Linked DNA regions of Cricetulus griseus. The protein of the gene in region 5 purifies or fractionates together with the protein of the main gene of each other region. This does not show direct contact. Links are inferred from orthologs where the notes say so. Each region holds a gene or a part of one and is shown on either strand. Other genes may lie near its edges.

Region 1 (4,651 bases), on a different chromosome or scaffold from region 5:
TTGATGTCTGGTCTTCAGAAAATGAAGTGTTAGTAACCTCACCACTCTGACGTGACATGAATGGCCCATGCAGAACCATGGCTCTCTTCCAAACAGACACACTCAATATCTCATCCTTAAAAAAATAAAAATAAAAATGAGTTTTTCAGATGCCAAGTAACATGCTGCTGTCTGAAGCTACAGACCAAACTGTCGGCTTCCCACTCCCACACTCTTGCTTCTCATGAATGCATGGTTCCTGAGGACTCCATTCAGGCTGTGCCCGTAGGGCTCACCAGGGCAGCAACGGCCATGAGCACACATCCCTTTTCAGCACGGCTTCACTTTTATCTTAAAATAAAGGCTTGTTTGTGGTATAGAAATGATATAAAAAAGCTACCAAATTTGTGCTTCTAAAGTCCATTCTTCCTGACAGCCCCTTCCACATTAACTGAGAGGGTAAAATAAGAGCACCTCCTGGATAAAAATGACAAACCCAGTCTACATCGCCAGCTCCCCCACGAACCACTCATGTCCTTTTCATGAAAAGGCAGTTTTTGGATCAGTCAAGCAGCCCCAGGTCAAAGGCCAGCACCTGCCAAAAGGCTGACGCCCAACAGAGACACCCAACACAAACAATTCAGTGCAGTCACAGTGTGGTGGCATGGTGTTTGGCAGGAGTGCTAGTCATGGGTCAGACAAGCCCACAGGAGGGGAGCAAATGGGTGTCTTCTGGGGTGCCGTGGGACACTGCCATGGGGTCTCCCGAGGCAGGCAGGAAGGCGGAGCCCACACTGCCTGAAGGAGCCTTGGAGAGCTAACTGGTACCCTGATTGCAGTCCATTAAGAATCACTTAGGTTAGTTTACTCAATGAATCAACATTAAAAAATCTTCCCAAATTTTGACTTCAATGTATTTGTTTAGTCCTCAGGAAGGAGAAGAGCTGATACACCCAGAGGTTTTATTGGCCTTAATCTTCCTCATAGAAGTTCCCATTACCTAAAAGTTCTCAGAATGTCACAATAAGAAGAGGAAAGAATGTGACTAAGTTTAGGGTGCAGAGGGGAAGCAGCAATGTGGCAACATTCCTTGGTCAGCCTCAGTGCTCAGGCATCCTTTTTCTGCAGTAAAATCTTGTGTAACTCATCTGCATCCTCACCCGTCTTCACCCGAATCAGCATGGTGGCCGGGACTGTGGGCTGCTTTTCATCCAGTGGGGGATTGGGGACACAGACGATGAGGACATTGTTTTTCCCTGTTCGGGTGCACGGCATATTGGGTGGAATCAGAACATTCAGCAGTATGTTGCCTTTGAGTAAACAAAGGAAAATTAATTATCAAAACAACACATAAAAATATATAAAATAAATATCAAAACTGTAGAATTCTTTAAGAGGCTAAAGAGTCAACATTAAAGCAACTCTCAGTGTGTTAAAGGTTATAGCCACAAAGGCTTTCTTTATGCTGGAGAGGAGCCAGGGGTTGGCAGGCACTAAGGGAGATGTACACACCCCGAAGTCTCCAAGGCGGAGCCTTGTTCAGATTGTTACTGGCTAACCCTGACCTTTACCATTTCTTGGGACTTAAGGGGTCAGCAAAGGACAGTTTTTCTCACCAGACTTCCCCCTAGGCAAGAGTGACATTAGAGTGACACTGTCAAAGTCAAGTCATAGGAAAGAGAACCCTAGAAGTCTTGCAGTGATGCCTGGCAGTCTTCCACTACTGACCACACATCACAGGCCCACTGCTGTCAGAGCTATTCTTTTAATGGACTATTGCAAGGGTTGGCTGGAGTGGGGCAGAGGGGACAGCAGCGTGGTATTCTTGTTCTATAAACAAATGTTCTCTAGGGCTGGAGATGGCCCCATTGCTAAGCATGTAACACAAGGACCTGAATTCAAATCTTCAGAACCCATGTAAAAAATTAGGGACAGCAGTACATTCCTGTAACCCCACCTTAAAGAAGGGGTGGGGTGGGATGTAGGAGTGAGGGCTGTGGCACAAACAAGTGGATCCCTGACTTGCTGGCTGGCCAGCCAGCCAAGCTGATCAATAGCTTCAGGTTTAGTGAGATCCTATTCCAAAAATAAGGTAGAGATCAGCTAAAGAATGAGACCTAATAACCTTGGGCCTCCATGTACCAACTCCCCTCCCACAAAGACCCCCTTAAACTCTGCTCACCAAACCATCCCACATGCACGCTGCTCTTCTGCCACATTCCAACATACGGAAAGAAACCCTTTGCGGTACTTTTTTGTGCAGCTTTGGAGCCTATCCTGGCATTCCCTCTGGAGACCAGGCTGGCCTCGAACTCACAGAGATCCGCCTACCTCTGCCTCCTGAATGCTGGGATCAAAGGCGTGCACCACCAACGCCCGGCTCCACTATAGCTTTTAACAATACACCTACACTGTGTACACAATGTTCTTGATACTCAAATCACATCCATATTAGTAACCAGAATATAAATTTGACCTCATGATCACTATAAGACAAAACAAACCCCTATTATTGAGCTTCAAAATCCAAAGAACTGCAGGGTCAAGACAAAGCTCTCTGTATGAACCGTGATGGCTCTGTACCCACCTAGGTTGGTGTCTGCCCGCACCAAGAGCTGAGTCTTCTGATTGGCTGTGGGTTTTAAATGTAGGGTCCCCACACCCTTCTCTTTAAATTCATTGTCTTTCTTGTAAAATAGTTTACACCTGTGGGAAAAACAACAGACACGATCAGACACTCAACAAGAATGTTTGCTGACCATCTTCTGTGAATCAACTGCAGTGGGTGGGTAAGAGGATAATAAATCTTTACCAGATTGATGGTATCTACCTGGGTTCAAAAACCAGAGTAGGATAATCTAGTTAGATATTCTAGAATCTAACCCCACCCCCCATGCCTTTCTTTGTAGTGCTGGACATGGAATCCAGGATTGTGGGCACTGAGGCAAACTTTGCTAGTGAGGAACAATCACAGTCCCTTACAAACCCTTTAACACCTGAGACCATCTTTCCTCTCAGGTGACCCACTTCTTGCTGCCCTCTCAGGTGCCCTGGTCCTGAGTAGCAAAACAGACTGGCCCTTTAAGGACAGGCACAGACCAAGCAGTCTTGCATCTCCCTCACCCAGCTTTTCCCCTAATAATTTTTTTCAAATTCTCTTTAGGCCTTACATTTTTGATCCCCTAAGATATTGAGATAAATCTGGAATAAGGTGTGACTCTGGATAAAGTAGGGCACTGTTTTCCAAGCCTATATGTTAACAGAAGCCCCTAAAATACAGCTAGCACTCCAGGGGTGGGGGCAGGTGGGTCTTGAATTCAAAGTCAGCCAGAGCTGCACAATTAAACCCCAACTCAAAACAAACACAAACAACAAAAACCACAAAATTAAGCTGGACTGTAGTGGTGAACACCTTTAATCCCAGCACTAGGAGGAAGATGCAGGTGGATCTCTATGAGTTCAAGGCCAGCTTGGTCTACAGAGGGAGTCCCAGAGCTACACAGAGAAACCCTGTCTCGAAAAACAAAAAAAAACAAGCTTGCTCATTTGACTTGCTCCAATGAAGAAGCCCACACAACAAAACAAAACTGGAAAGTCAGGATCTTCCCTATGTGTCACTTGTATTATTAAAATTAAAATTGTTACTGCCCAAAAAGTTCTTGAAATAAAACAAGAACTCCATGGCCCATGGCATCTGCAACATAGGAAAGACTCTAATGTCTGTTATAAAAACATTACCGGAAGCTTCGTTTTCAGGATAAATGCTTCCCAGTAAATATCTCAGTACAATTAATTCCTAACAGAATTTAAATTTCCCTTCCAGCCTTGTTCACAGAGAGGCAGCTCAGACCAGCAGAGGAGAGGCAGGTTCATACATCCTTAACAGGAAGGAACAGCTGTGCCTAACTTTTTGGCTGTGGTTGCCCAGCCACAGAAAGGCCCACCCCATCCTAGGGACCACAGCCACCTCCATGTTTACAGCAGAAGGTGATTTTTTTTTTTTTTTTTTTTTTTTGTGAGAGAAGGAGAAAAAAGGAGAGCGAGAAGAAGGTCATGAAGTATGTTTCTAAAGCACTTCACGGGGAGAGAAGCAGCTCGCTTTACAGAGGAGCTAGGATGTGCCCAGCACATCTTTAGAATTGGCTTGTTTTAAAAATAAACAGGCCAAGCTGGGTGATGGTGGCACATGCCTTTAATGCCAGCACTGGGGAGGCAGAGGCCAGCCTGGTCTACAAAGTAAGTTTCACAACAGCCAGGACTACACAGAAACTCTTGTCTAGAAAAAAAACAAAAATAACCAAATAGGCCAATCATCCTTCCATGTTGCAGCTCAGTTGACTGGAGCCAGATCTGTGGGACACTTTCCCCTGCAACTCCCACAGGCCCACTCACTTTTTGGAGTAGAAAGCATCCTCCTCCTTCACTTCAGTAACTACCACCTTGGGTGGCTCATCATTCTCTTCTTCTTCATCGCCGCCACCTGTCACAGAAACAGCTAAGTTAGCAGAAGCCTGCTCCTCACCACCCTGAACATCACCCAGGAATACCCCACAGAAGCTGGTAAATATGACTGTGGACACCTTGCTGTTTTAGGGGAAGAGGTGCCAGCTGGATTTTATTTTGTGAAATTTTAAAATTATCTAGTGTGTATGTACATGTGTGTGTGTGCACA
Region 2 (3,760 bases), about 66 Mb from region 5:
AAAACTTTTGGAAAGGCTTTGACTGAGAACAAAGTCAAGGTATGCAAAGTATTCACCATACCTCACATGAAACAAATGGTGGTCCAATACAATCCAAGGCCCATTTCAAAACAGGAACCCAAGGCTTCCTGGTTACACAGTTAGTTGGGTTTATTTTCCCCACATGCCTCAAAAAAATGTTCTAGCCAGGGATAGTGGTGCACACTTGTAGTCTTAGCACTTGTGAAGCCGAGGCAGGAAGACTGAGAGTTTGAGGCCAGCCTGAGCTGTATACTGAGAACTTATCCTAAAAAATGTGATGTGATTTTTATATATATATATATATATATATATATATATATATATATATATATATATAAAACAACATATATACTTTTCAGTACATATTTCATTTAGTATGTAGGTTCTTGTCATCTTCAGATGGAGTCTCACTATACAACTGGTTTGGACCTCTCTATGTACACTAGATTGCTCTCAAATTCAGATCTACCTAGCTCTGCCTCCCAGGTGCTAGGATTAAAGGTATGTGTCACTATATCATACGTGGACTTTTTTTGGTGGGGGGAAGGGTGGTTTTCAAGACAGGGTTTCTCTGTGGCTTTGGAGGCTGTCCTGAAACTAGCTCTTGTAGACCAGGCTGGTCTCGATCTCAGAGATCCCTGCCTCTGCCTCCCAAGTACTGGGATTAAAGGAAAAGGAGTGCGCCACCACCGCCCGGCTCATATGTGGAATTTTTATACATGAATATATAATCATTCTGAGGATAGAATGGGAGTGGGTAGGCAGTAGTGGGACCGTAGTTAGCCTGGAAACACTCAAGAAGATGGGATAATGATAGCTAGCCTGAGATGCCATGAATCTGTCTTGGAGATTGCTGGCACTTCCCACAGCAGCCAGTCAAGAGGATAAAATGAAATCTCTGCCTCTATACCCCCAGGGCCCCTTACTGGGGTTTACAGAACAACATCCATGGGCAGTGTTTGTGAAAGGACCAACTATGGTGAAACTGGAAACAATCAGGAAATCATAGACTCAGGCTCACTGACTCAATACTGAGATTACAGCCAGTGTAATCACCATATTTGGTAGCAGTGACAATTTACTGATAGCTCAGAAAGCCACACAAACATCTTACTCACTAAAACACTTTTAAGATTCATCCATTATTGATAGGTGTGGTGTCCTTTAACTCCAGGACTTAGGAGGCAGGTGGATATGAGTCTGAGGTTAACCTGTCTACAATAGTGAATTCCAGATCATCCAGTTACATAGTAAGACCCTATCTCCATGTTTGTTGTTGTTTGTTTTAATCAATGTAGAAAGTGAGGAACATTCCCCATGAGTTACCAGCTGTCACCTTTCATGAGTTAAGAGCCTCTATATTTGTTTCTCAGTCACATAGTAAGTCAATAAAATCTGACATTCAGTTTGCTAAGTAGGTACGTCCCTCTGGCTTTGACCTAAAGAGAGATCAACATCCCAGAGGATCTTTAGTGTACCAAATCCAGAGTCACAGTGACTCCAAAGACAGATTAGAGCAATCTTGAAAAACACTGTTTTCCTTAATTTTTTGAAATTAAAATATAATTAAATTATTTTTCCTTTCCCATGCCCCCTCCAACACCTCCATGCTCCCCTGCACTCAAATTCATGGCCTCTTTTAGTTGTTGACCTAAATATATAAGCACAACCTGCTCGGTCCACAAAATATTATTTGTATGTATATTATTTAAAGGTTGACATTGGATAACGAACTAGGGGGAGGGAGTGGCAATCTGTTTTGGTTTTCAAGTCCAGACCTTGCTATGCTGTCCAGACTGGCTTTGAACTCAGTATCTTCCTGTCTCAGGCTCTAGTGTTGGGATTACAGGTACATGTCACCAAACTTGACTCAACCTTACAATCCTCAAAACAGACATACTATGCACAAGGAGGCAGTGCCAGAGAAAAACTGCATGCCTCACTGGACCAAGGGAGACTGGAGAAAGGGCAGAAACACAGAAACAAGGGTGACTTCAAGTAGAAAATGAGAAGAAAATATCTTACAACTGAAAGAAAATCAGGGTTATGCCCCATTTTATATTATAGCTCCCAAATAAAGCATTGAAAAAATACCTGGCTGCCACAGATGAAATTATATAAACTTTTAAACTGATTAAAACTTACTTTTTTGGCATCAAAATTTTTATAAGCAAATATTTATAAAATTTTAGAAGCAACAATTTCTACAAATGTCATATCTGTCCCTGAACATAATACTCATAATTTGCTTTTAGAACAAACTCAAAGTAAGGATTGGATTTCAGGCTTCCCAGCTGGTCTGCTTGAAGTAGGTCCTTCACCTCTGGCAAGTATTCGCTGAGCTGGATGCCTGCAAACAAAACACAGTCACTTATGATTTCAGAGATTCCCCAGTGAATGAGAGGCTGGCGCCAGTCACTAACATGCCCCATACTGGAGCCTCCTCCTAATCACAGTGCCGTAGGTCTGACAACAGCTTCTTCAGTGCCACCTGCAGGCTCTCACTGGTCAAAGCAGCCACTTCAGGTGAGGTCTGCAATAGTCTGCAATTGTCATTTTCTACACTTAATTCCAGCACTCAGCACTCTGAAGGCAGAGGCAGGCAGATCTCTGTGAGTTCAAGGCCAGCCTGGTCTACAAAGCGAGTGCCAGGATAGGCTCCAAAGCTACACAGAGAAACCCTGTCTTGAAAAAAAAAAAATCAAAAGACATTCTTTCAATGCAGAAGTTTTCAACTAATAGTCATTTCTGTGTTACCCTAACTGGGGAATAATATAATAGAAATACTGTCACAGAGCTGGCCACAATACCATAAAGGTATCAGTTTAATGTGGATGGCTGTCCTTCCAGTGCTCAGGATGCTGAGGGAGGGAATCCCTTGAACCTGAAAGCCCAAGACCAGTCTGGACAGCACAGTAAGACAGTCCCAAAGAAATAAAAACGCACATACAGCAGCATTTCAACTGAGTCAGAGACTAGAAGGATAATGGGGTCAGGAAAGCCAGGAAGCACCAATCAATGGACTATTGAAGCCACAGCAATTACATTTAACCTCACTTGACCAAGAAAATGGAACGAAAACTTTTAAATGAATAAGATCATATAATTTGTTGTATGAATATCAGATTGTCTGGTTTTAAGGAAGATAATCCTGGGGGGGGAGTACTTGTCCAGTAAAAATATTCTTGAAGCATCCAGCACCATCTTTTTGAATTTTTTATAATGATAAATTGAATAATTCTGCACCATCAAAAAACAAGGGTCTACTGAGCAACTATGTACCAGGTAGGGGTAGGTATGTTTTATGTAGATTAAATGATACATCTTGCATACATAAGCAGAGCAAATGTTGGGGTCATGTGAATGCCATCCCAGTAAATACCATTCATATTCACTCTGCAGGATCACTGGACTTAGGATACATGTCACTGTATGTTCTTCAAATATAGCCCTGAATCTAAAAGATCTGCCAGAGGTAGGTTGGTTGGGCTGCATACTGCCTGGACCTGGCATGCTGGGTTTTGATCTAATGGATTTTTTTTTTTAATTTACTTAATTTTTATTTTATGTGCATTGGTGTGAAGGTGTCAGAACCATTGAAACTGGAGTTACAGACAACTGTGAGCTGCCATGTGGGTGCTGGGAATTGAACCCAGGTCCTCTGGAAGAACAGCCAGTGCTCTTAACTGCTGAGCCATCTCTTAAGCCATCTTTTGTTTTTTTAAAGATAGAATTTCTC
Region 3 (5,644 bases), on a different chromosome or scaffold from region 5:
CAGATGGACCTTGTCTCAAAACACTACCATGAAAAAACTTGCCTTAAGCAAAAGCAGCTTGGCAATATGGATCCACAACTTGAGAGGATACCCAGTATCATAATGAAACATCAAAGCTGCAGTAATTGTTTTATGTACAAAGATGTTCATTGCAGTGTTTCTTATATAACTACAAGAAATTAGAAATTCTTCACTTAGGAGAAATTCACACAGACATTACATAGTCATTTAAAAAAGCAGACAAAAAAAACTAAATAGTTTAACAAAACATTTATACCAGGTTTTTTCTAAAAAGCAGAAAATTCCTTATGTAATAAAACTTCAACTGTAGGAAAACAAAAACCCATATTGAAAGGAAATACACAAAGGGCTTATTGAGAGGGTTATACAGTCTTGAGATTGGTTTTATGTTTATTTCTTAGTTTGCCAAAATAATCAAAATGACAACGACAAGAACAGTAGTGATCCGTGAAGTACTCACTACATGTAGGCCAGGTTATGAGAGCTTATTGTACTAACTCACTTAGTTCTCTGAACATAATCAGACAAAAAACAGAGACATTGTAACTTGCTTCAAGTTACACTGAGAATTACAAAGGGCCTTAAAGTGTCTTTTCCTGATGTCCACCCCACACAGGATAGCTCTATCTTACTTCATGAAGTCAACCATTAGAAAGGCACCCATTGATTCCAACTGTATGGTCTTCACAGCAACAGCAACCAGTTTCCTCTGAGTTCAAATAGTTCCACTGTCACTGACTGTCTTTTGGAAATAAGATGTGGCCACCATTCTGGGATCTATTTCAGAAAAATCTGAAGGCAGACACATGTGGTAGAGCATGCTTTGAATCCCAGGACTGGGGGTAGGAGTTGGGAGTTGAGGCAGGTGGATCTCTGTGGGTCTGAGACCAGCCTGGTCTACAGAGTGAGTGAGACCTTTTCTCAAAAGACAAACAAACAAACAAACAAACAAAAACAAAGAAATTCCAAGACAAAACTCCATCTGCATTTCCTGTTTCAATATTTCATTTGATCATTGAGACATTTAAAAGCTAACATTCTTACTTATTATACCACCTGACAGTACTTCCAAGAACACTCCCTGGACATCTCAGAACCACACAATCAAATGCACTTTTCAAACCTGTCTTCTCTAACCTCTACCTACTTCATCACAAACCACCCTCTCTCACAACCATCTGTCCTACTGTGAATTCACCCCCTCTCTGACCTGCCAGACCCTGGCTAACACTAGGCAAGTTGGCCCTCATCTTGTGAGAAATTTCACTCACTCCAACCCTCCCTTTTTCGAAAGGGCATTGTTCTCCATGATTTTGAAAACCTCATTAGTTATTCATATTCTAGTTCAGCTTTCTCAACCTTTGCAAGTAAGACAGTATGGGAAAGGGTGGGAGAGGGAGGAGGGATGAGCCTTTTGAGACAGGTGTAGCCCTGGTGTAGCCCTGGCTGTCCTGATCTGGCTCTGTAGACCAGGCTGACCTAGAACTGGGAGATCCACCTGCCTCTGCCTTCTGAGTGCTGGGATTAAAGGTGTACACCATAGCCCTGTGTACCACATTCTTTATATCTGGCAAAGAAAAGCAATCCCCATTGCTCTGCACTCCTCTTTTCTGTTTATACTGGTTAAATTTACTTCATGTGTAACTTGATTTCGCTTCCCTTATAACCTGACTTCTTTTCCTAAAAAAATGCTTGCAAAACCCAATATGGTTAGCAAATACAAGAAATTCCTTTAAATATACTTTGTTCACATTTCAACGTAATTTATTCAATTTTTAAGAAAACTGAATGCACACAATCACTTTAACATTATATAAATAAGGAAAAATCAGTCATGAAAACAATGACTATAACAAATATAGATAATGAAATACTCACAGCTAGGATAATATTTTTTACCCTGCCCCCAAATCTATTCTGTTTATATTATGTAATGAAAAGGCTTCTAGGAATGGAGGAAGACGTACAAAAAATATTTGTTATAAGTCTTTCAATGGGAGGAATTCAGTATCCTGACTGGGGAGGTGATGGAAGCACATGAAAGCTAATGGAAGGTGGAGGGCCCTTTTCAGAAAAGGAAAATGAAACACTCATACCCAACAGGCTTATATTGACTCAAGTGAAAACAGTGTTGCCAAACCACTATTCACCCACACCCAAGTGTCAAGGATTTTAAAAGAAATCCGAACCTCTAAACTAGTATTTTCCCTTTGCAGTTCCAAGTTTTCACCCAGGACAGCCATTCTCTAGAGCAACTGGGACGCAGGGTAGGGGGTAGAAACCATAACCTCTCCCCAAAGCCCAAATCCTCCTACTTCATCAAGTACACTTTCTTATCACTCTTAAATGAAAAAATTCGATAAGGAGACTTAAAATCCAGCAGGTACTTTTGGGATCCTAATGATGAATACGTCTGAAAGGGCATATTCCAGACAAGTCGGTTCCAAACACTGATTTCACCAAACACTTGGCACTTAAGCATCTTTTTTTTTCCCGGGGGGTGGAGGGGGAGCACTGCTTACGTACTCACTGAAGCCATTACTGTTTTACAGCAGGACAAACTAAGCGGCTTCATACAACCTTCCCAATTAGTGGAGAACCTCCAACTTCGTTTCTACAGTTACCGCTGCTGATTTGCGATTGGCATACCAAAGTGAAACTGTAAACAATCCCTGCAAAACCCACGTGATTAAAAAATTAAACAACGCGAGATCATTTCTAAGAGGAAGAAAGCCTTTCTAAAACCAGTTTGATTGTGGTGGCGGGTCTGTGCCTCGGCGGCCGTTCCCCGTGGCGTGTACGGACAGGGCAGGGACAGACGTGCAAACCCCACAAACCGAAGCAAAACCCGTAGTTACAAACATTAAAACGATGTAAACACGTCGCCAGGCCAGCAGGCCCTCGGGGGAGACGGCTGCAGAAACCGAGGTGTGTGAGCTCCGGGACAAAGACCGGCGACCTCGGGCCCTCGCACGATGCGGCCTGACAGGCACCGCACCAGCCCGCCCCGGCAGCCGCCCTCCCGCCTCCCCGGGGGCGCCACCCGCCTCGTCCGGGTCCCGCAGGGCGCCCGGGGCGGCAGCTGTTGGGCTTAGAACCGCGCCGTCGCCGGCGGGCTCCAAACGGCCGGGCCGGGTCCAGGAGAGCGGGCAGCCGAGCTCCGTCGCCTCGGCACGGCGGCGGGTCGGAGCTCGCTCGGCCGCTTCCGCCCCTCCGCCCCGGCCACGCACCCTCACGCCACCTACCCGGTCCCACACCATCCCAGAGGCCTCCGGCGCTCGGGCCTTCTGCCGAAGCGGCGCTGCCTCCCGTCCGGGGCCTGAAATGGCTGCGGAACAAAGAGAATCTGGGCTCGGGCGAGCGCCGGTCCGATTGGCCGGGGGGCGGAGCCCGGCGCGGGAATCTTCGGCGGCGGTCGCCTTGGCAACGGCGGCGGGGCTGGGAAAACCGCGACCTGGGCCCGCGGGCCTGAGGGCCTGCGTCGGGCGGCGCCCGGCAGCGGTTTCCCGAGAGGACCCCGGGGTCGCGGCCTCGGCCCCGCGCCCGCCTCACACGCCCTCGCGCCCGCCGCGACCCCGCAGGCCCAGCCCGAGAGGGTGAACGCCTAGATGCAGGGCCCTTCCAGGAGGTGACGTGCCCGGGCCACACTCGTGTCTCCCCGCTACAGCCCCCGAGTGGCAGCCGAGCCCCGGGAGCCTCTGCGACACCAAACGCCTCCTATGCCACAGTCGAACAGTGACAGCTTCCCCAGTACTAGGCAGATGGATGTGGGCGGACCGCTACCCGCTTGGTACCAGACGGGCTTCTGAGATGTGCTGATCTAGCACTGTATAAACCAAATGAAACTATTTAGAAAATTAAATTAATTCTCTAGGTATGTATCTAATATAAAACTAGTCTGAGCTTGAAAATAATTAGCTCTTCTCGATTTATACAGCAACCATGAGAAAAGTACTGTAATTTCAAAGTGAAAATGTTTTTAAAATGGGAGAGGTAGACATTTTAAAACCCAATTGTCATGATAGTAACGAAGGGATACGGATTGTTCTCCTTCCCTGCCTGATTATTTTTACACAAATTTACTCTGTATGAATATTGTAAATAAGGAGCATAGCAAGGTGCTCCTTATTTCCTAAGGTGAGTTGTCAGTGAGAATTATCCGTACACTAGCATTTTTAACTGCCTTAGTGTCACATACTTTCTGTTTAGGCAATGTTTGCTCTTCATCACTTTATACATAAAGTTATAGTACCTAATTTTAGAAAATGTTAAATATTTATTAAGATGGCTTATTTATTAAGAAACTTAGGAATCTTCTATTGTAATACTCATTACAATTAGTTTAACTCAAACTTTTAGACTAAAAGATGATTTTATTATCAGAAAGATGAACATAGAAGAGGAAATATTTAAAATAACTAAAACATGGCTGGGTGTGGTGGTGCATACCTATAATCCCAGCACTCTGGAAACAGAAGCAGGCTGATTACTGAGTTCCAGGACAGTCTGGTCTTCAGAGAGAGTTCCAGGACAGCCAGGACTACACAGAGAAACCTAGTCTAAAAAAAAAATCAAGTAACTAAAATATGCATATCAACATCTTATAAAGTTAACTTAGACGTTGGAAGGAGGTTTCTAAGAGGAAATATGTTCCTAAGAAAAACAATGTAATGAAAACCTTTCTCCAGAGCTGTTTGGTGTCTCCAAGGAAATTTACTGCAGGGAAAATGCAAACAAGTCTTATTTTTGTACTTAAAAGATTGCATTGTAGAATAGGGACTTGTATAAGATTGTGGTAATTGAATTTTACATCCCTGGAGTTTAAAAAATAAAATAAATTGTGTTTAAATCTAAAAGATTAGGGGCTGGAGACGATTCAGTGGGTTAAGAACCCTTGTTTTTTCCAGAGGAACTGCATTCTATTCCTGAACTCACATGGTAGATCATAACTTCATAACTCCAGTTCCAGGGGATCCAATGCCCTCTTCTGACCTCCTCAGACACCAGGCATACACATAGTGCACAGACATACATGTCAGCAAAACACTCATACACATAAATAAATCTAAAACTAATCAGAAAGATTAGCAATTAATGACAGTTATAAAACCTACCAAGCTTGTAAGTGCGTACAGAGAATTCGAAAGAATTCTAATTTTGCTTGAAATGATACATTTTTTTTCTTAGTAAAATAAAATAAAAAAAAACCTACCAAGCAATTAACATGGATTCACCTAGATAATACTTTGGGAATAAATGAAATTAATTGGAAGGGAGGAGGGATTGATTATTCATTCATATATGTAAGAAGATTTATTCCCTCAAAATCTTAAAAAATATTTGGTTATCAGATGTTATAAGATTGACATGAGATAAATCAAGAATCTATTCTTTCATAGCATTGAATTAAAAACATTACTGTAAAGTGGTTCTGGGTAGCCAGGCGTGGTGGCCAACACCTTTAATCCCAGCACTTGGGAGGCTGAGACAGGCAGATCTCTGTGAGTTCAAGACCAGCCTGGTCTACAAGAGCTAGTTCCAGGACAGCCTCCAAGCTACACAGAGAAACCCTGTCTCTAGAAACCAAACCAAACCAAAAAATTAATTAAATAAAGTGCATTCA
Region 4 (5,760 bases), on a different chromosome or scaffold from region 5:
GTTTGCAGCCATGCATAGAGGCCCATGCTTTTTAACCCCAGCAATCAGGAGGTAAAGGCAGGCAGATCTCTGTGAATTTGAGGCCAGTCTGGCCTACATGAGTTCTAGGACAGCCAGAGCTACATAATGAGATCCTGTCTCAGAAAACAAGTTTGGAAGAAAAGGATGTCTCAGACCCAACAATATATTAATTAAAAAACAATTACCTTTTTACTTTGAGATTAAAATTAAAATAAGCAGAAACATCTAAGACATAGAATAGTAAAAGAGATCAAATGTTAAAAAGAAAGGAAAAAATACTGGCTGGGCAGTGGTGGCACGCTCCTTTAGTCCCAGCACTTGGGAAGCAGAGGCAGGCAGATCTCTGTGAGTTCGAGGCCAACCTGCTCTACAGAGTGAGTGCCAGGAGAGGATCCAAAGCCACACAAAGACCCTATCCTGAAAAACCAAAAAGCTAGTAAGTGCCCAACATTGCCTTACTCCTGGCAGGTCATCACTAGGGTAGTGCACGCCTTTAACCCTAGCACTCTGGAGGCAGAGGCAGCCTGGTCTACAGAGTGAGTTCTAGGACAGCCACAGCCAAGGCTACACAGAAACCCTGTGGGGAACATGGGGGCGGATCTTTTTCCCCAGGGGCTATGCATTGATCCTGCAGGGGACCAAATGCAATCCACAGCACCCACATTATTAGGTGGCTTATACCTGCCTGTAACTCCAGTTTAGGGGACATAACCTCTCTGGCCTCCTGCACATACTCAGACACAAACACAAATACACTTCTTAAAAAACTAAAAATCTTAAAAAAAACAAAGAATTGTCATACATTCAACAGTCAAAAGTAGATTACCAGGCATGTCCAAGAATTTTTACATTTAGCCAGCAGTGGTGGCTCATGCCTTTTATCCCAGTACTCCTAAGGCAAAAAGGCTGGTGGATCTGAGTCCAAGGCCAGCCTGGTTGACAAAGCCAAGGCCACACAAAGAAATTTTGTCTAGAAACCAATCCCCCTCAAAAAAAAAATTCTAATTTCTAAGAGACATTTATTCTTTTTTGGGGGGAGCACAAGCCTCTAATCCCAGCAATCAGGAAGCAAAGGCAGGCAGATCTCTGCAGAGTTCCAGGACAGCCACAGCAGTTATACAGGGAGGGAGAGCACTGTCTAGGTATGTACCTGATTGTTTCGGTTTTCCTGCAAAGGAGAAGTAGCATCGTCGGGAAATGAGCTGACATTTCTCCTTTTCAGCATCTGGTCATCTTTCTTCGCTTTCCTCAGTTCCACATTAACTTCTATTCGGCGGCGCCGCATTTCCTGAGGAAAAGACAACACAACACCTCATTTTATCTATAAGCTTTTCCTGACAAGTCATTTCTTTAAACCCCTCAAAGGTCAGCAAGAGATGGCTCATTGTCTAAAAGGCACCTGCCACCAAGTCTCAGGACTTCAATCCTGCAGAGTCAGGCGGAGGAGGGAACCATTGCCTGCAAGCTGTCATTCTCACCTCTGCATTTGCACCAGGTATGCACAGACACACAATAAATAAGACTAGAGATAAAACTCAGGAATAAAGAACCCATCTAACATCAGTAAGGCACTGGATTCAATCCCTAAAATGTGTTATATAAACACCCCTTCTTATTTCCATTTAAAAGTGTCGACAGAAGGTACTCACTGTACTGTCTTTCCCCTTGTTCTTGAATCTGTTAAGCCGGGCAGCTGGTGAATTAGCATTCTCGTTGGTGGACATGGTTACAGGAATCCGGGAGAAAGCTAGTAGACAAGGGAGGGTGAGAAAAAAAAGAGCACTTTTTAAATAAGAATACAGCAGAAGCCAGGCGGGGCATACTAACATTCGCCTTTAATCATAGCACCAGGGAGGCAGAGGAAGGCGGGTCTCTTGAGTTTAAGGCCAACTAGAATATAAAAATCAAAGCCGAGCGTGGGTGGCGCACGCCTTTAATCCCAGCACTCGCCTTTAATCCCAGCACTCGGCAGAGACAGGCCGATCTCTGTGAGTTCCAGGCCAGCCTGGTCTCCAGAGCAAGTGCCAAGATAGGCTGCAAAGCTACAGAGAAACCCTGTCTCGAAAAACCAAATAAATAAATAAAATAAAAATCAACTATATATTGACTCCATCTGTATGCTAGACAAGAAAAACCCACAAGCTTTCAGTTTTATGGCTACAGCATTAAGTCCAGTGGTTAAGTGCTCCTCCTGCAAAGGGATTAAACTTCTGGCAACGCAGCTGTCAATCAGAAACAGGTTTTTAATCAAACATTTAAATTTTCCACTAACCACATTTTTAAAAGGCTAAAAAGCAACAAATGAAATTAACATAGAAAAATAAACATGTTTCACCGTTTTAATACACCTTCAGAATCCTATGTGTAGTTTATGCACGCAGAGCATCTCAACTCAGATTATCGGCTTTTCACAAACTCAATGACCTAAAGCCTCTGGCCAGCGCGGTATTAAGCCGGGGCTCCACATTCTGGACACCGACTAGGGGCACCCCGCCTGGTTTTTAGTTAACAATCTACCTCCTTAAGGCAATAAAGGCACTTCTGGTCTTTTTCTGTTGATTCATGGCCCGAATGCATACACATACATCAGGCACCTTCCATCAGGTTACACAGCGACTTGGCTGGTTGCGTTACAGAGCCTTCCACAACCCTCGCTGTCAGCAGTGACATTGGCACCGCGTCTTCAGCGTCCCGCACGCCCTGGACAGGACAGGCTTTCCGGTCTGTGCATTCAATTCGAGTGACACCAGCCGTGGACACTGTCTGGGGCTCGACTTTCTATCGCAGGCGTGATCGCCACAATGTGACAATCTGCTACCGAGGCGAAAACCTCGGGAACTTCCTCCCCGAGGCTGGCGCCGGCGGCCCGGCTCAAGCGTCTCACGGGGGAGTCCTAACTGCCACCACTCCGCCTCCGCCTCCGCTCCAGCCCACAGCCCCGACCCTCCCCGGGCAGAAGCGGCGGGAAAGCGGCGGAGAGGCAGCCGGGTGCGCTCGTCTGCGGCCGGTGTCCCCGACGCCGCCCCTCGCGGGGCCTGCGCCGCCCTCCGCAGCGACCGGTGCGGCCAGGCCTGGCACCGGCACCGGCACGGCGGAACCACCCCGCCCCGCGGCCTCGTCTGGGCACGGAGGCCCAGCACACGCCCGGCGCGGCCTGCTCCCGCCTTCCCGCCCGCTCCGCGTTCCGGCCGGCCGTTACCGTCCAGGCCCGGCCGCGGCTCCCACCTGCTCAGCCGGCTCAGGCGTCCACGAAAGGCGGTGCGGGGCTCTCAGCCTGCGGGGTCGGCGGCCCTCGAAACGTCCACTGCGCCTCAGCCCTCAGACTTTGTGCCTCGTGCTGCCGGCCGGCGCGATTTAAATTTCCCGGTGACGCCGCATCCCGATTGGCTGGTTTGAGCCTAAGCTGTGCGTTCATTGGCGGATTTGAAAAACACGTTGGGGGGGGCACGGACGCCGGGCCTGGGGGAGGGAGGAGGTGGGGGTGGGGTGGAGGGGAGGGTAGCATCGCGAGATGAGGGAGCGGCCGGACAATCCCAGAGTGCCTTGCAAGAGTGGTGATCCCGGAGCTCGGCGCGCGACGCTGAAGGGTGTGTGTCGTCTCTGCCTAGGCGGGACGCTGGGCAGAGCCCTGTTTGCTCTCTCTGGGGCCTGCCCTTAAGCAAATACACGGAATTATTATTAGACGCGTTATCTTAAAAAATAAAAGTTTAGCCTGGCGTAATTGGCGTAGGCAGAGGCAGGAGGATTGCTGTGAGTTCAAGGCGAGCTTGTCTACATAGTGAGGCCAGCCAGGGTTACATGGTGAGACCCCGTCTGAAAAAGGACCCACCAAAATAATAACAAATGCTTAACATAAATACATTGATTTTCATTTTTTTTCCTCATCGAAACACCAGAGGTTTAGCAGGGGCTGGTCACTGGGAGAAAGGAGTGAAGCAGATCTGTGTGGCTCTTTTAATAATCATTGTGTGTAGTGTATTAATTATTATGTTGTTTTTTTAAGATTTATTATTATGTATACAGCTTTATGTCTGCATATGATCCTGCACACAAGAAGAGGGCACCAGATCTCATAATGGATGGTTGTGAGCCACCATATGGTTGCTGGGAATTGAACTCAGGACCTCTGGAAGAGTAGTTGGTGCTCTTAACCTCTGAGCAATCTCTCTAGCCCCCTATTATTATGTTGTTGTTTTTACTGTTTATTGATTATTTATTTATTTGTTTATTTATTTTGGTTTTTCGAGACACGGTTTCTCTGTGGCTTTGGAGTCTGTCCTGTAACTTGCTCTTGTAGACCAGGCTGGCTTTGAACTCACAGAGATCTGCCTGTAGAGCAGTCTGACCTCAAACTCACAGAGATCCACCTGTCTCTTCCTCCCGAGTGCTGGGATTAAAGGCGTGTGCCACCAATGCCCAGCGATTATTTAATTTTTATTACGGGGACTAGGAGTGAGACAGGGTCTCAACAATAGAGCCGGGGCTAGCCTTGAACCTGTTGCAATCTTACCTCAGCACCAATTCTGGGATTACAGAGATGTTCCACTTTATCTAGTTGTATGTCAAATGTTCAGATTACTTGGGAAATAAAAAGACAAAGCAGCAAATATGGTAACAAATGGCTTATTAAGTGCCTATTTTCACCTTACACTTTCTTTAAAACTTCATTAATTCTGTTTGGTTTGTTGTTTTGGAATTTTATTTATTTATTTTATATTATTTTGGGGGGGGGTTGAGACAGGGTTTCTCTATTTATTTATTTTAGACGAGGTTTCTCTGTGTAACCCTGGCTGCCCTGGAACTCACTTTGTAGACCACACTGGCCTCCAACTCACAAAGATTCCCCCAAAGGTGTGTGAAACCACCACCAGGCAAAACTTCAATAATACAAGTGTACACCGCCTTTAATCCCAGCACTCAGAAGGCAGAGGCAGGTGGATCTCTGTGAGTTCGAGACCAGCTTGATCTACATAGTGAGTTCCAGGATAGCCAGGACTACAAAGAGAAATACTTTTCAGGGATTCGGATGGGGGCAGAAAAGAGATGGCTCAGAGATAAGAGCATTGCCTGCTCTTTCAGAGGACCCAGGATCAATTTCCAGCACCCAGATGGCAGCTCACAACTGTCTATAATTCCAGTTCTCCAATTCCAGGGGATCCAACACCCTCACACAGACATACATGCAAGCAAAACACCAATAAATAAAAGTAAATAAAAACAATTTTTTTTTCTTAAAAGAGAGATTGTTTTATATAACCACACTGGAAACCCTCAATTTCAGGAAAAATTCAATTTCCATGCTATCATCAATCTGTATTCATTTTTTGTGGTCTAATTATTTTCAAACATGAAAGATATTTAAAAGCATCAGGATTGTGAGCCATTTTTTGTGTTCTTCTTGAAATTTTTCTGGGTGCTTTAAAGGAGTATTTTAGGAAAATTGTAGTGGCTTATTTTGTACAAATAAATGCAAGCAGTACACTCTGTCTATTCTCGAAGGCATCCATGCCAGTTTCTCTCTAGCATAGCCGAGAAGTTCACAGGCAGTTTGTTGCTCCCAATCTGACCTGCTAAATGCAAGAATGTGGAAGGAATCCATTCTCAACCAATCACCGCCAGGCATTTTCTTGGCTGCTGTGAATGGTTCAGGGGCAGGCACACGACCTAAATGCACCCTTTTGGGGCGCCTATGTCCTTTGTTTAGTAGTTGGAGGTAGGAACAACTTCTGAGTCTTAAAC
Region 5 (5,091 bases):
TTTGCATGCCTGAAAATAGCTACATTTTGCTTTTATGTGTGATCAAATTTGGCTAGTTACACAATGATTCAAGGTTATTTCATTTGTAGAGCACTGTTTAGTGCTCGTGATAAAACCCCGGGTTTTGCACAAGCCTTGGAGAGTGTTCCTTTTACCACTGATTAATGGCCAACTTCCATTTTTAAGGTCAATGTCTATCTTAAATTTTAACTCTGTGTGTGGTGTGTACTACTGGTGGTTTTGAGCCACCTGAAATGAGCACAGGGAACCAAACTTGTATCATCTTTAAAGAACAGCATGCATGGCTACCGAGCCCTTCTCTCCAGTCTCAGTGTCTTATTTTATACACAGGAACCATTATGTCAATGTTTTAGTGTTTCCCTATATCATTCAATTTCAAAGTCACTTACAGATGCAGCTGTCCATCCTTAACACTGCTCTGGGAAACCCCATTACAATAATGAGCTAGATGATGCTCTTTCTACTATTCCATAAGCAAAAGGCTTTACTTCAACAACCTTCTCTAGTTTTTTTCCTTCTTTAGCTTTTTAATGGGCTTTTGTATCCCCTTCTAGTTCCCCAAATTACCTGATTTCTTAGAGTTAAACTATATTTACTCTCTATGTTCCTCACTTTCACTCATTATCGGTAATTGTTTGTAAACTAAAATTCAACATAAGATTTTTCCCTGACAGCATGCATCAACTATAAGGTGTCCAAATGACATTAAGACATATATAATGTGCCCCATTCTGCACATTCAATTACAGCTGTATTTCTCAAAATTAGATCTGTAGGTATCCCATTCCAACCATGGGTATTTGGTTCAATTAAAACAGAAAAGCATGAGCTCTTTCCTCAAGACTTTTTTTAAAGATTTATTTATTTTGTATACAGTACTGTGTCTGCATGTATGCCTGCAAGCCAGAAGAGGGCACCAGATCTCACTAGAGATGGTTGTGAGCCACCATGTGGTTGCTGGGAGTTGAACTCAGGACCTCTGGAAGAGCAGACATGCTCTTAACCTCTGAGCCATCTTTCCAGCCCTCCTCAAGATTTCAAAAACCAATATTCTCCATTATTTTCTGACAGTCATTTGTTGACTTCCTGTATTGTCAAGGTATCAAATACAACTTATAAACAATAAATAAATAAAGCCATTAAGTACTTACCAGTTGTAGTATTGGTTTGATTCCCAAACGAAAAAGTGGCCTTGGCTAACTGATCAGACTCTTTCACAGATGGTTTTGCCACACTGAAACTGAATGTCGGCTTGGAAGAACTCTCATCTTTGGTTTGCTCTGAATTTCCAAAGGAAAACACTGGTTGAGACTTTGACTCCTCATTGTCGGCTTTCTTTCCAAAAACCAGAGAAGTAGAAGTAACAGGTTCTTGCTGTTTCTCCTCTGTCCTTCCCAAAGCAAACACTGAGGCAGATGGCAAAGAGGCAGACTCCACTTTACCAAATGTGAATCCACCTTTGGTGGCAGAAGAATCATCTTTCTTTGCTTCTGTTGTCTTATATGTGAAAGGAGTCACTGAGACACTCTTAGTTTCTATAGTTCCAAAGTTGAAGCCACTCTTGTTCTCCAAGGTCACTGTGGTATCAGTAGCAGCCGTGGTGGGGTTGCTAACACCTGCACCAAAGCTAAAGCCTACATATGACGACCTAGGGAGCTCCTCTTTCTTTTCTTGCTGCCCAAGAGTAGATACCCCAAACTGAAATGGAGCTGAAGAAGCTGGGTTGCTTAAGCCAGAATAAAGTCCAAACTTAAAATTATCATTCTTGCTGTCATTTTTAATTTCTTCAGGTTTAGAATCAGAAGACACTCCAAATTTAAAACCTGCAGTTGGTTTAGAAAATTTAAAGTTTGTATTCATGGTGTTTGTAGACCCAGAGTCAGATGAAGCTCCTAACTTGAATCCTCCCTGATCTCCAAATTTAAAATTTCCAGTGCTTGCAAAAGTCTGAGAAAGTCCAGAGGAGGACGATGGAATACCAAATTTGAAGGTTGAGGGTGCTGGATTTAAAGATGAAGATGTCCCAAAGCCTTCAAAGATAGAAAACACACAGACAAAAAAAAAACACCAAATTAATGTGCTTACCCTAACAAATACAACCCCTGAAAAGGCCTATATGCCACTTCCAACTGTAAGACTGGAAGGTCAAGAAAGATGATAGGCGTGTATACTTGGGAGAAGTAGGCACTTCCCTATCCTGTAGCTAGGGCTACAGCAGCATCCAAAGTATTGAGATATATATAGTTCTATCAATGATTACAAAAAAAAAAAAAAAAGAACCCACAAAAACCTAAATCATATATCCTCTGAGCCTCAGCAATTTTATAGCTGGGATTTGTCTTATGATAAATTCAGACACACAAAATGCTATGAGATCCAGGCAGTTATCAATGAAGGATTAAAAGTCAAAAACATGCCAAAAGGATAAAAACCTTTTATCCTTTACTTATATCCTTTGTAAAAACTGAGGCAAACAGAAAAGGTGGGTGATAATTTCTGACAAGAAACAAGGAAGAGTCGGGAAGTGGTGGTGCACGCCTTTAATCCCAGCACTCAGGAGGCATTAGCAGGTCAATCTCTGTGAGTTCGAGGCCAGCCTGGTCTACTAAGTGAGTTCCAGGACAGGCTCCAAAGCTACACAAAGAAACTCTGTCTAGAAACAAAGGAAGGGAGGAAGGGAGGGAGGAAGGGAGGGAGGGTCTAGAATGGCAATGTGTTTGCTTAGGACAGGTGTAAAGCACTTTTGGAAGGTATAGTGATAAACTAGCCGTGCCTCTTACCTTTGTAGAGAGACAAAAAAATTGAAAAGAGAGCCAGTAGAAACAGGAGACCCTTGATCTCAATTTTTAAATATTTTGATTATGTTGTTGACAAAAGCATTTAAAAATATTTAGCATTAAAAAGATATGAAATGAAGCCATATTTATAAAGATAAACATCATTACAGTGATTAAGACCAAAATCTATTTCCTTGGAGCTTTTCTCTTGCAGCAGAAATTGAGCATGAAGTACTTGACTGACTCCAAACAAGGACTACTAATTAGACGCAAAACAGATAAGCCACACATTACTCGCCTGGAAATGAAAGAACAGCCAAACCAATCATGCAGACGAACATAAAGTGGGTGTTATGGATCAAAACTTTGACTTTTGATTTGCAATGTTTGAAAGCAACATAAGACTCTGGTAAATTTTAAAATAAAGCCTAGCATATAGAAATCCCTCTGTAGGGGCTGGAGAAACAGCTCAGAAGTTAAGAGCACTGGCTACTCTTCCAGAGGTCCTGAGTTCAATTCCCAGAAACCACATGGTGGCTCACAACCATCCATAATGAGTTCTTGTGCCCTCTTCTGGTGTGCAGGTATATGTGGAGACAGAATGTTGTATACATAATAAATAAATAAAATCTTAAAGAAAGAAAGAAAGAAAGAAAGAAAGAAAGAAAGAAAGAAAGAAAGAAAGAAAGAAAGAAAGAAAGAAAGAGAGAGAGAAAGAAATCCCTCTGTATTCCCATTTTGGAGGCTAACTCTGTTCAGAAATTCCCTGATATTCAGGTCTAAAATTTCTAAAATATGTCTTCTTTCCTAAGCTTTGTACAGCTTTGACTATAAAATCTACATGGAAGTACCGCAAATGAAACGCCAGCCTTCATATATTCAATGACCATGTGAAGTTCTTCCTGTACTTTCATGTACTAAGAAGGCTAGGCTTAGCCGGGCGTTGGTAGTACACGCCTTTAATCCCAGCACTCGGGAGGCAGAGGCAGGCGGATCTCTATTGAGTTCGAGACCAGCCTGGTCTACAAGAGCTAGTTCCAGGACAGCCTCCAAAGCCACAGAGAAACCCTGTCTCGAAAAACCAAAAAGAAGGCTAGGTTTTGTTTTGGGAGTAAATACATTTATTGATACCCATTTTACATATAGTTCAATAAAATAATCAATAAATATAAAAGCATTTTTCCTTTGGATATGACCATGGTCCATGTAAATACTCAACAGTCAGTCATCTGCAGGAAGCGCTCCAAGTCTCACTGCTAGGTTACTCAACAGCGAAGCTGATGCACTCAAGTGGCCCAGTGGCTTTGGAATGTGACTACTGGGCATGTGCAGTAACGAAATCAATGGGAAAGGTATCAGCCATGAACAAGAGAAACAATTATGAATTCATATCCCAGGAAAAGGAAAGGACCACAGCTGACACTTGGTGTCAGAATACCAGAGACAGGGTATGTAAAATAACATACACTGTCCACTGAGTAAGGCAGGGCTTTTGGATGATGCAAATGCTGGAGTACATGGTTATGTCACCATGTCTGCTTAGAGTTCTCTGTTACCCAGACATACTCAGAGGCTAAATGACTTACAGTAAAGTCCTAAGGGTGTAAGTTCATACCCAAATCTGGAAACTGGGTAACACAAAGTTCTTTACCCAGATACACAGATGGCATAAGACGCTGATATGCAACTAATGTTGGTGTCATCCATAAATAACAACAACAACAAAAAAACAAGGACCATGTCTCATTTTACATAATTACTCAGTGGATAGGTACCTTACAAAAACAAATAGGCCTGGGAGGTGGTGGCACATGCCTTTAATCCCAGCACTTGGGGAGGCAGAGGCAGGCGGATCTCAGTGAGTTCAAGGCCAGCCTGGTCTACAAAGTGAGACCCAGGACAGCCAGGATTGTTACACCAAGAAATCCTGTCTCAAACAAACAAACAAATCTGCCCCCGCATACACACTTCACTTTTAACCAGGCATTAGAGGATTTCTTCACCAACACCTTACCTTTAAACTCTGACTTTGTGCCTGGCTTTCCACTTTCACATGCTATGCACTTGGTAGAGTCTGGTTTATTTTGCACTAGACACACTTCACAGTCCCAGCTTCCCTCGGGTTTTTTGAACTTATCCAATCCTAGACAGCCTCCAGAAGACGGAGAGGCAGACACAGGGCTGCTGCTTGAGGCAGATACTGAACCTAAAAGCAATGGGGAAACTGATGAACATGTTACTTTATCCCCACCCAAACACATAAAAACAGAAAGGAAGCCTTTAATTGTTTATA
Region 6 (5,647 bases), on a different chromosome or scaffold from region 5:
GACCCAAATTAGGTTCCCAGCAACTATGTTGGGCAGCTGACCCCTGCCTGTATGTCATTCCAACTCCATGGGATCCAAAACACTCTCTTCTGGCCTCCTCACAGGCAACCCCACACATGAAGCATACACTCACATATACACATAATAAAAAGTTTTTTTAAAGAAAAAGTGGGGGGGGGCACAGAGGAGAGATAGCTCAGTGGTTAAGAACACTAGCTGTTCTTCCAGAGGTCCTGAATTCAATTTCCAGCAACCACATGATGGCTCACAACCATCTGTAATGAGATCTAGTGCCCTTTTCTGGCCTGCAGGCATACATGCAGGCAGAATACTATATACATAATAAATAAATAAATCTTTAACAAAAAAGCCAGGGCTGGGGAGATTGCTCAGTGGGTGAGCGCTCTTACTGGGTGAGGATGAGGGTATGAGTTTCACTGCCCAGCACCCAAATAAAAAAATAGGGACATGGATGCACATGGCTGTAAACCCAGCTTTAGGAGCAGATATGCAGATCTCCGGAGCTCAACTGCCAGCCAGCTAGTCTAGCTAACAAGCAAAAACAGCTTCAATGAGACCCTTTCTCAAGGAAGCTGAAAAATCATGTGCTTGCAATCCCAATATATATACCCCACACACATAAAAATTAGTAAAATTAAAAGGCTACCACAAGCAACAAAGGTTTTTGTTGTTGTTTTTGCAGGGGTGTTTTTACTTTTTTTTTTTTTTAGTTCCCTTTGGCATATGTCAATTCTAGATAAAAGTCAAGGTATATAACATTACATGACAACCACCAAAAAATACATAATGCAAGAAAAAACACATAATACAAGGACTGGGGACATAGTCCCATAGCAGAGCACAAACCCAGTATGTGTAAGTCTAGGAAATGGATCCCTGGCCCCAAGAAAATAAAATAAAATGTGCATAATAGCCTGGCATAGTGAGACACATTTTTATTCCCAGAACTTTCAAGGCAAAGGCAGGTGGGTATCTGTGACTTTGAGTCCAACTTCTCTACAAAGTTCTAAGGGTGCTGAGTCTACAGAGAGACCCTGTCTCAAAAAGAAAGAAAAAAAGCATAATCCAAATATTTGATTTCAAGTAATATCTTTATTCTCATTACTTTACTGGAGGTTTTTCAGGGTTGATTTTGTCAGGCTCTTTGTAAAATTGTGTGTGCGGTCAACTCCAGGCCTCTGGCATGCTACACTCCTGCCCCATACTAGGCTTTGCTATGCTAGTATTATTGGCACAAGCTACTAGCTCTTACTTTTTTTTGTTTGTTTGTTTTTGTTTTTTTTTTGTTGTTGTTGTTGTTTGAGACAGGGTTTCTCTGTGTAGCTTTGGAGCCTCTCCTGGCACTCGCTCTGGAGAGCAGGCTGGCCTCGAACTCACAGAGGTCTGCCTGCCTCTGCCTCCCAAGTGCTGGGATTAAAGGCCTGCGCCACCAACGCCCGGCCCTAGCTCTTACTCTTTATAGTCAATGAGTAACAATTTGATTCCCTACGACTAAGATTTCAAGAGCTATGCCATCTTCTTCCAGTGATTTCTGAATGAGAGAGATGGTTCAGCAGTTAAGAGCACTTGCTGCTTTTGAAGAAGACCCATGTTTGGTTCCCAGCACCCGTAGTGCAGCTCAAACCCTTTGCAAGTTCAGTTTCAAAGGATCTAAATCCCTCTCTGCCCTCTGTAAGCACCAGGCACGATCATGATGCATTACATATATTCAGGCAAAACACTCACATTCATAAAAAATAAGCAAAATATGTTTAAGAAACAAGCTATTCTGAAAATACTGTGCTCTTCCATGCTTTCATCTATACTAGGAAAAGTTAACATCTAGTTCAAAGTTACTGTAAATTTGTTTTATTTTACTTCCTCTCAGACCTCCATCTTATTTTAAATCACCCATCCAAAAACATTACATAAAAAGGTAACAAAAAATAAGTTATTTCACCAAAATTACAGACAAATCACTCTCAGTTTCCTTTCAAAATTTAGACCTTGTAAACTTTAAAACGGAGGTGTGAGGGCTGGAGAGATGGTTCAGAGGATAAGAGCACCGCCTGCTCTTCCAGAAGTCCTGAGTTCAATTCCCAGCAACCACATGGTGGCTCACAATCATCTGCAATGAGATCTAGTGCCCTCTCTGACCTGCAGGCATACATGTAGGCAGAACACTGTATAATAAATAATTCTTTAAAAAAAAAAAGTTAAAACATTAAAAAAAAAAAAACAATGGAGGCGTGACAGTACATGTCTTTAATTCCAGAATTTCACGAGTCAGGGGCAGGTGGATCTCTAAGTTCAAAGACAGCCTGGTCTACATGTGAGTTCTAGGAGGAATATGTAAAGGGACCCTGTCTCAGAATTTGTATGAGTCAATCAGGCATGCTGTTGTTCCTAAAACCCCAGCACTTGAGAGGCTGAGGGAAGACAGTTCTGAATTCAAGACAACCATGGGCAATGTATCCAGTGCTAGTCCAGCCATGACTACATAGTGAGCCTTGTCTCAAAAACAAAGAAAAGGCAACAAAGCAACAAGAACGTGGGAATATCATCTAGGGTGATGGAAATCCTGGCACCCAAGAAGCCAGGACAAGCACAAAGACAGCCTACCAAGCAAAACCCATCCTCAAAAAAAAAAAAAAAAAAGGGGGGGGGGGAGAGTGACAGGGAGGTGGGATTTGAAGGAACTGTTTTAAGGGGAAAAAAAAAGGATAGATGTTAGTGTTTCACACAGAATTTCAAAAGCATTTCTCCGTTGTTGATTCTGATACTAGTTTACCAAACCGAAGTTTAAGCCTTAAAAAGAAAATCAATTCATTTGAAACTTTTCATTGCCAAGAGGATCGCACGCATTCAACCCTCTCCTTCTTTCTTGCCGACATCCCTGACTTCAGTCGCCCTCCAGTTTTCTGCTCCCACTGCGAGCTTCAGCTAACGCTTGGCGGTTTCCCTCGCATCACCGCTCACACAGACGACCAAGTTGTCATTGCTATAATTACCACACCCCCGTCAGCAGCTCCAGGCCCGCGTAGTTATGACATCTGTAAACTGCAGCCTCCCGTCTCCACCCCCACCGCCTCCCTCCAAACACCGGCCCGGGCGGTAACCTGCCAACTCCCGGAACGGCCCCGCACGCCTGGGCCTCGGCCACCGCACCCCGCGACACCCGCCTCCGCCCCCGCCCTCAGCCTAGCGCGGCGCGCAGACTCCGCGCCGCCGCCCGGCGCCCCGCAGTCCCCGACGCCGCTTCCACCGCCGCCCCGCCCCGACCGGCGTTCCCCACCCCCACCCCGCTCCTCCGCCGCCGCCGCCGCCGCGCGGGCCGTTAGAACCGCCAGTCCCGTGACGCACCGGAGCGACGCGAAGGTCCGGTCCCCGGCGCGACAGCGACAGCTCCCGGCCGGCGCCCGCGTCCGCCTTCGCCCCGGGGCCTCCCTCGGGTCCCCGGAGGGAACCAGAGCCGCCCGCCGAGGGGGAGGGGCCGCGGGGAAGCCCCCCACTCACCGGCTCCAGGCGACCGGTCCCGGTGCCGCCGTGAGGGTGAGACGCTCGCTTCTTGTCGGCCCGCTGCGCCTCTTCCGCGCACAACCTTGACCGGCCGGCGCGCACCACGGCGGCGCTCACCAGGCCTCGCTCTCGCCGCCGCCCGCGCCGCCGCCGCGCCGCCGCCGCGCACCGAGCCGCGAGACCCAGCTCAGCCGGCGTGCGCAGTGCGCCTGCGTGCGGGGGCCGGCCTGCGCGCCTGCGTGCGCCTTTCCGCCGCCCGCCGCAGGGGCTGCCGGGAAGCGGAGTCTCTGAAGCGTTCTTTCCCGAGTGGACGCGGCCAGGGCGTGGGTCTCTGAGAACGAGGTTTGCAGTCCGGAAAAGTAAAGACACGTACAAGTTATGGAGACAAACGTGTCCTTACTAAGCTCTTCTAGAATGGACGGATACCGCCCTCCCCACACACCTCACATCTCCATAGCCACCCTCTCACATGGTAGGTGCCTCACACACCGAGCGCGCTTATTGGATGAACGATGGCATGGTTGGAGGCTGAGGGAGTATCGCGAAATACGTCAGTGCCTCACGTTCAAAGAATTCACACGCCACTCGTTTGTGGGAACCTTCTGGGTATTCTCTTCGGCTCTCTCCCATTTTGCCTAGTAATTTATTAGTCCCATAAAACATTAACAAAATAATTTTTGAGCCTGGATCGTTAGCACACCACTCAGCACTGGGACGGCTGAGGCAGGAGAATGGCAAGTTCTAGACCGGCATGACTACTACGTAGGAACACCTTGGCTCGATGATGTTAATTTTTAGTAAAAACATTGGCATTGATCTGAGTAAGTTCTCTCAAACAAAATGTTTAGGAAAATGATTGTTTTTCTTTCTGGAGAGTAGGGTTGTGGCTTCAAAAGAACACCTTAAGCAAGCCAAGCAGAGGTCACTGAAGAATTTCACACACAGGACATGGTTTAACGAGTCTGTTTAAAAGGAATACTGAAGAGCAACAGACGGCGTCAACACCCTTATAAATGTAAGAAAGAGGGAGACAAAGGACCACACTGACTGAATCCTAGGTAAAGCAATGGTCGTTTGTCTTGGCTCCAGTGGCGGTTTTAATAACCTTAACACAAACTAGAGTCACCTGGTAAGAGGGACCCTGAATGGGAGACTGGTTCCCATCAGATTGGCCTGTGGGCATGTCTGTGAGGCATTTTCCTAACTCATGATGTGCCCAGCCCACTGTGGACAGTGCCACCCTTGGGCTGTATAAGATAGTAAGCTGAGAATGATAGAGTAACCACATTTCCTCCATGGTCTGTTTCAGTTACTGCCTCCAGGATCCTGCTTTGAATTCCTGCCCTGGCTCCTCTTAGAGATGTAAGCTGGAATGCCTGCCTCCAAGTTGCTTTGGTTAGTGTGCAATCACAGCAATAGAAAGCAAACTAGAACAACTCCCTCCCTCCCTCCATCCTTCCCTCAAACTTGACTCCCTTCTGCATCATCGTGTTTATTTATTACAATCAGAACTAAGTTTGAGCAAGGCAGCTGGAAAAAGAAAGTGCTCTGTCAGAGAGACTTAGGGCCAATGTGCTGTCTACTTTTATGTCAGCTTGACACAAGCTAGAGTCATCTGAAAGGAGCGAACCTCAATTGAGTAAAATTGAACCTCCAAAAGATCCAGCTATAAGGCATTTTCTTAATTTGTGATTGATGGGGGAGAGCCTAGCTCATGGGGGCAGTGCCATCCCTGGCATGGTGGTCCTGGGTTCTATAAGAAAGCAGGTTGAAGGCCGGACATTGGTGGCGCACACCTTTAATCACGCCTTTAATCCCAGCACTCGGGAGGCAGGGACAGGCAGATCTCTGTGAGTTTGAGGCCAGCCTGGTCTCCATATTGAGTGCCAGGATAGGCTCCAAAGCTACACAGAGAAACCCTGTCTCAAAAAACAAAAACAAAAAACAAAAACAAAAAAAGAAAGAAAGAAAGCAGGTTGAAGCCAGGTGTAATGGTGCATGTCTTTAACCCAGCACTCAGGAGGTAGAGGCAGATGGATCTCAGTGAGTTCGAGTTCAACCTGATCCACAGACCTAGTTCCAGGACAGCCATGGCTACACAGAGAAACCCTGTTTCAAAAACAAACAA

What was found.
Region 1: the proteins of Nup153 (region 5) and Nup50 purify together in Homo sapiens (affinity purification with mass spectrometry; 8 studies listed by BioGRID and IntAct, counting the BioPlex papers as one, with this or other methods). This does not show direct contact. The link is inferred for Cricetulus griseus from reciprocal best matches to the Homo sapiens genes NUP153 and NUP50.
Region 2: the proteins of Nup153 (region 5) and Nup133 purify together in Homo sapiens (co-immunoprecipitation; 3 studies listed by BioGRID and IntAct, with this or other methods). This does not show direct contact. The link is inferred for Cricetulus griseus from reciprocal best matches to the Homo sapiens genes NUP153 and NUP133.
Region 3: the proteins of Nup153 (region 5) and Tnpo1 purify together in Homo sapiens (co-immunoprecipitation; 3 studies listed by BioGRID and IntAct, with this or other methods). This does not show direct contact. The link is inferred for Cricetulus griseus from reciprocal best matches to the Homo sapiens genes NUP153 and TNPO1.
Region 4: the proteins of Nup153 (region 5) and Kpna2 purify together in Homo sapiens (co-immunoprecipitation; 4 studies listed by BioGRID and IntAct, counting the BioPlex papers as one, with this or other methods). This does not show direct contact. The link is inferred for Cricetulus griseus from reciprocal best matches to the Homo sapiens genes NUP153 and KPNA2.
Region 6: the proteins of Nup153 (region 5) and importin subunit alpha-5 purify together in Homo sapiens (affinity purification with mass spectrometry; 3 studies listed by BioGRID and IntAct, with this or other methods). This does not show direct contact. The link is inferred for Cricetulus griseus from reciprocal best matches to the Homo sapiens genes NUP153 and KPNA1.

The regions. Positions count from the first base shown.
Region 1 is NC_048595.1:381,781,518-381,786,168, reverse strand, and holds part of Nup50 (nuclear pore complex protein Nup50), read right to left. Parts: intron 4,460-4,651; coding exon 4,372-4,459; intron 2,686-4,371; coding exon 2,567-2,685; intron 1,290-2,566; coding exon 1,087-1,289; 3' UTR 1-1,086. UniProt on the Homo sapiens protein: Component of the nuclear pore complex that has a direct role in nuclear protein import. Actively displaces NLSs from importin-alpha, and facilitates disassembly of the importin-alpha:beta-cargo complex and importin recycling.
Region 2 is NC_048596.1:200,580,483-200,584,242, forward strand, and holds the end of Nup133 (nuclear pore complex protein Nup133), read right to left. Parts: intron 2,372-3,760; coding exon 2,235-2,371; 3' UTR 1,542-2,234; downstream 1-1,541. UniProt on the Homo sapiens protein: Involved in poly(A)+ RNA transport. Involved in nephrogenesis.
Region 3 is NC_048595.1:317,694,705-317,700,348, forward strand, and holds the start of Tnpo1 (transportin-1), read right to left. Parts: upstream 3,417-5,644; 5' UTR 3,282-3,416; coding exon 3,267-3,281; intron 1-3,266. UniProt on the Homo sapiens protein: Functions in nuclear protein import as nuclear transport receptor. Serves as receptor for nuclear localization signals (NLS) in cargo substrates.
Region 4 is NC_048600.1:119,947,747-119,953,506, forward strand, and holds the start of Kpna2 (importin subunit alpha-1), read right to left. Parts: upstream 3,387-5,760; 5' UTR 3,247-3,386; intron 1,769-3,246; 5' UTR 1,746-1,768; coding exon 1,671-1,745; intron 1,310-1,670; coding exon 1,172-1,309; intron 1-1,171.
Region 5 is NC_048596.1:266,384,475-266,389,565, forward strand, and holds part of Nup153 (nuclear pore complex protein Nup153), read right to left. Parts: intron 5,005-5,091; coding exon 4,813-5,004; intron 2,052-4,812; coding exon 1,173-2,051; intron 1-1,172. UniProt on the Homo sapiens protein: Component of the nuclear pore complex (NPC), a complex required for the trafficking across the nuclear envelope. Functions as a scaffolding element in the nuclear phase of the NPC essential for normal nucleocytoplasmic transport of proteins and mRNAs.
Region 6 is NC_048597.1:53,690,219-53,695,865, forward strand, and holds the start of importin subunit alpha-5, read right to left. Parts: upstream 3,675-5,647; 5' UTR 3,517-3,674; intron 1-3,516. UniProt on the Homo sapiens protein: Functions in nuclear protein import as an adapter protein for nuclear receptor KPNB1. Binds specifically and directly to substrates containing either a simple or bipartite NLS motif.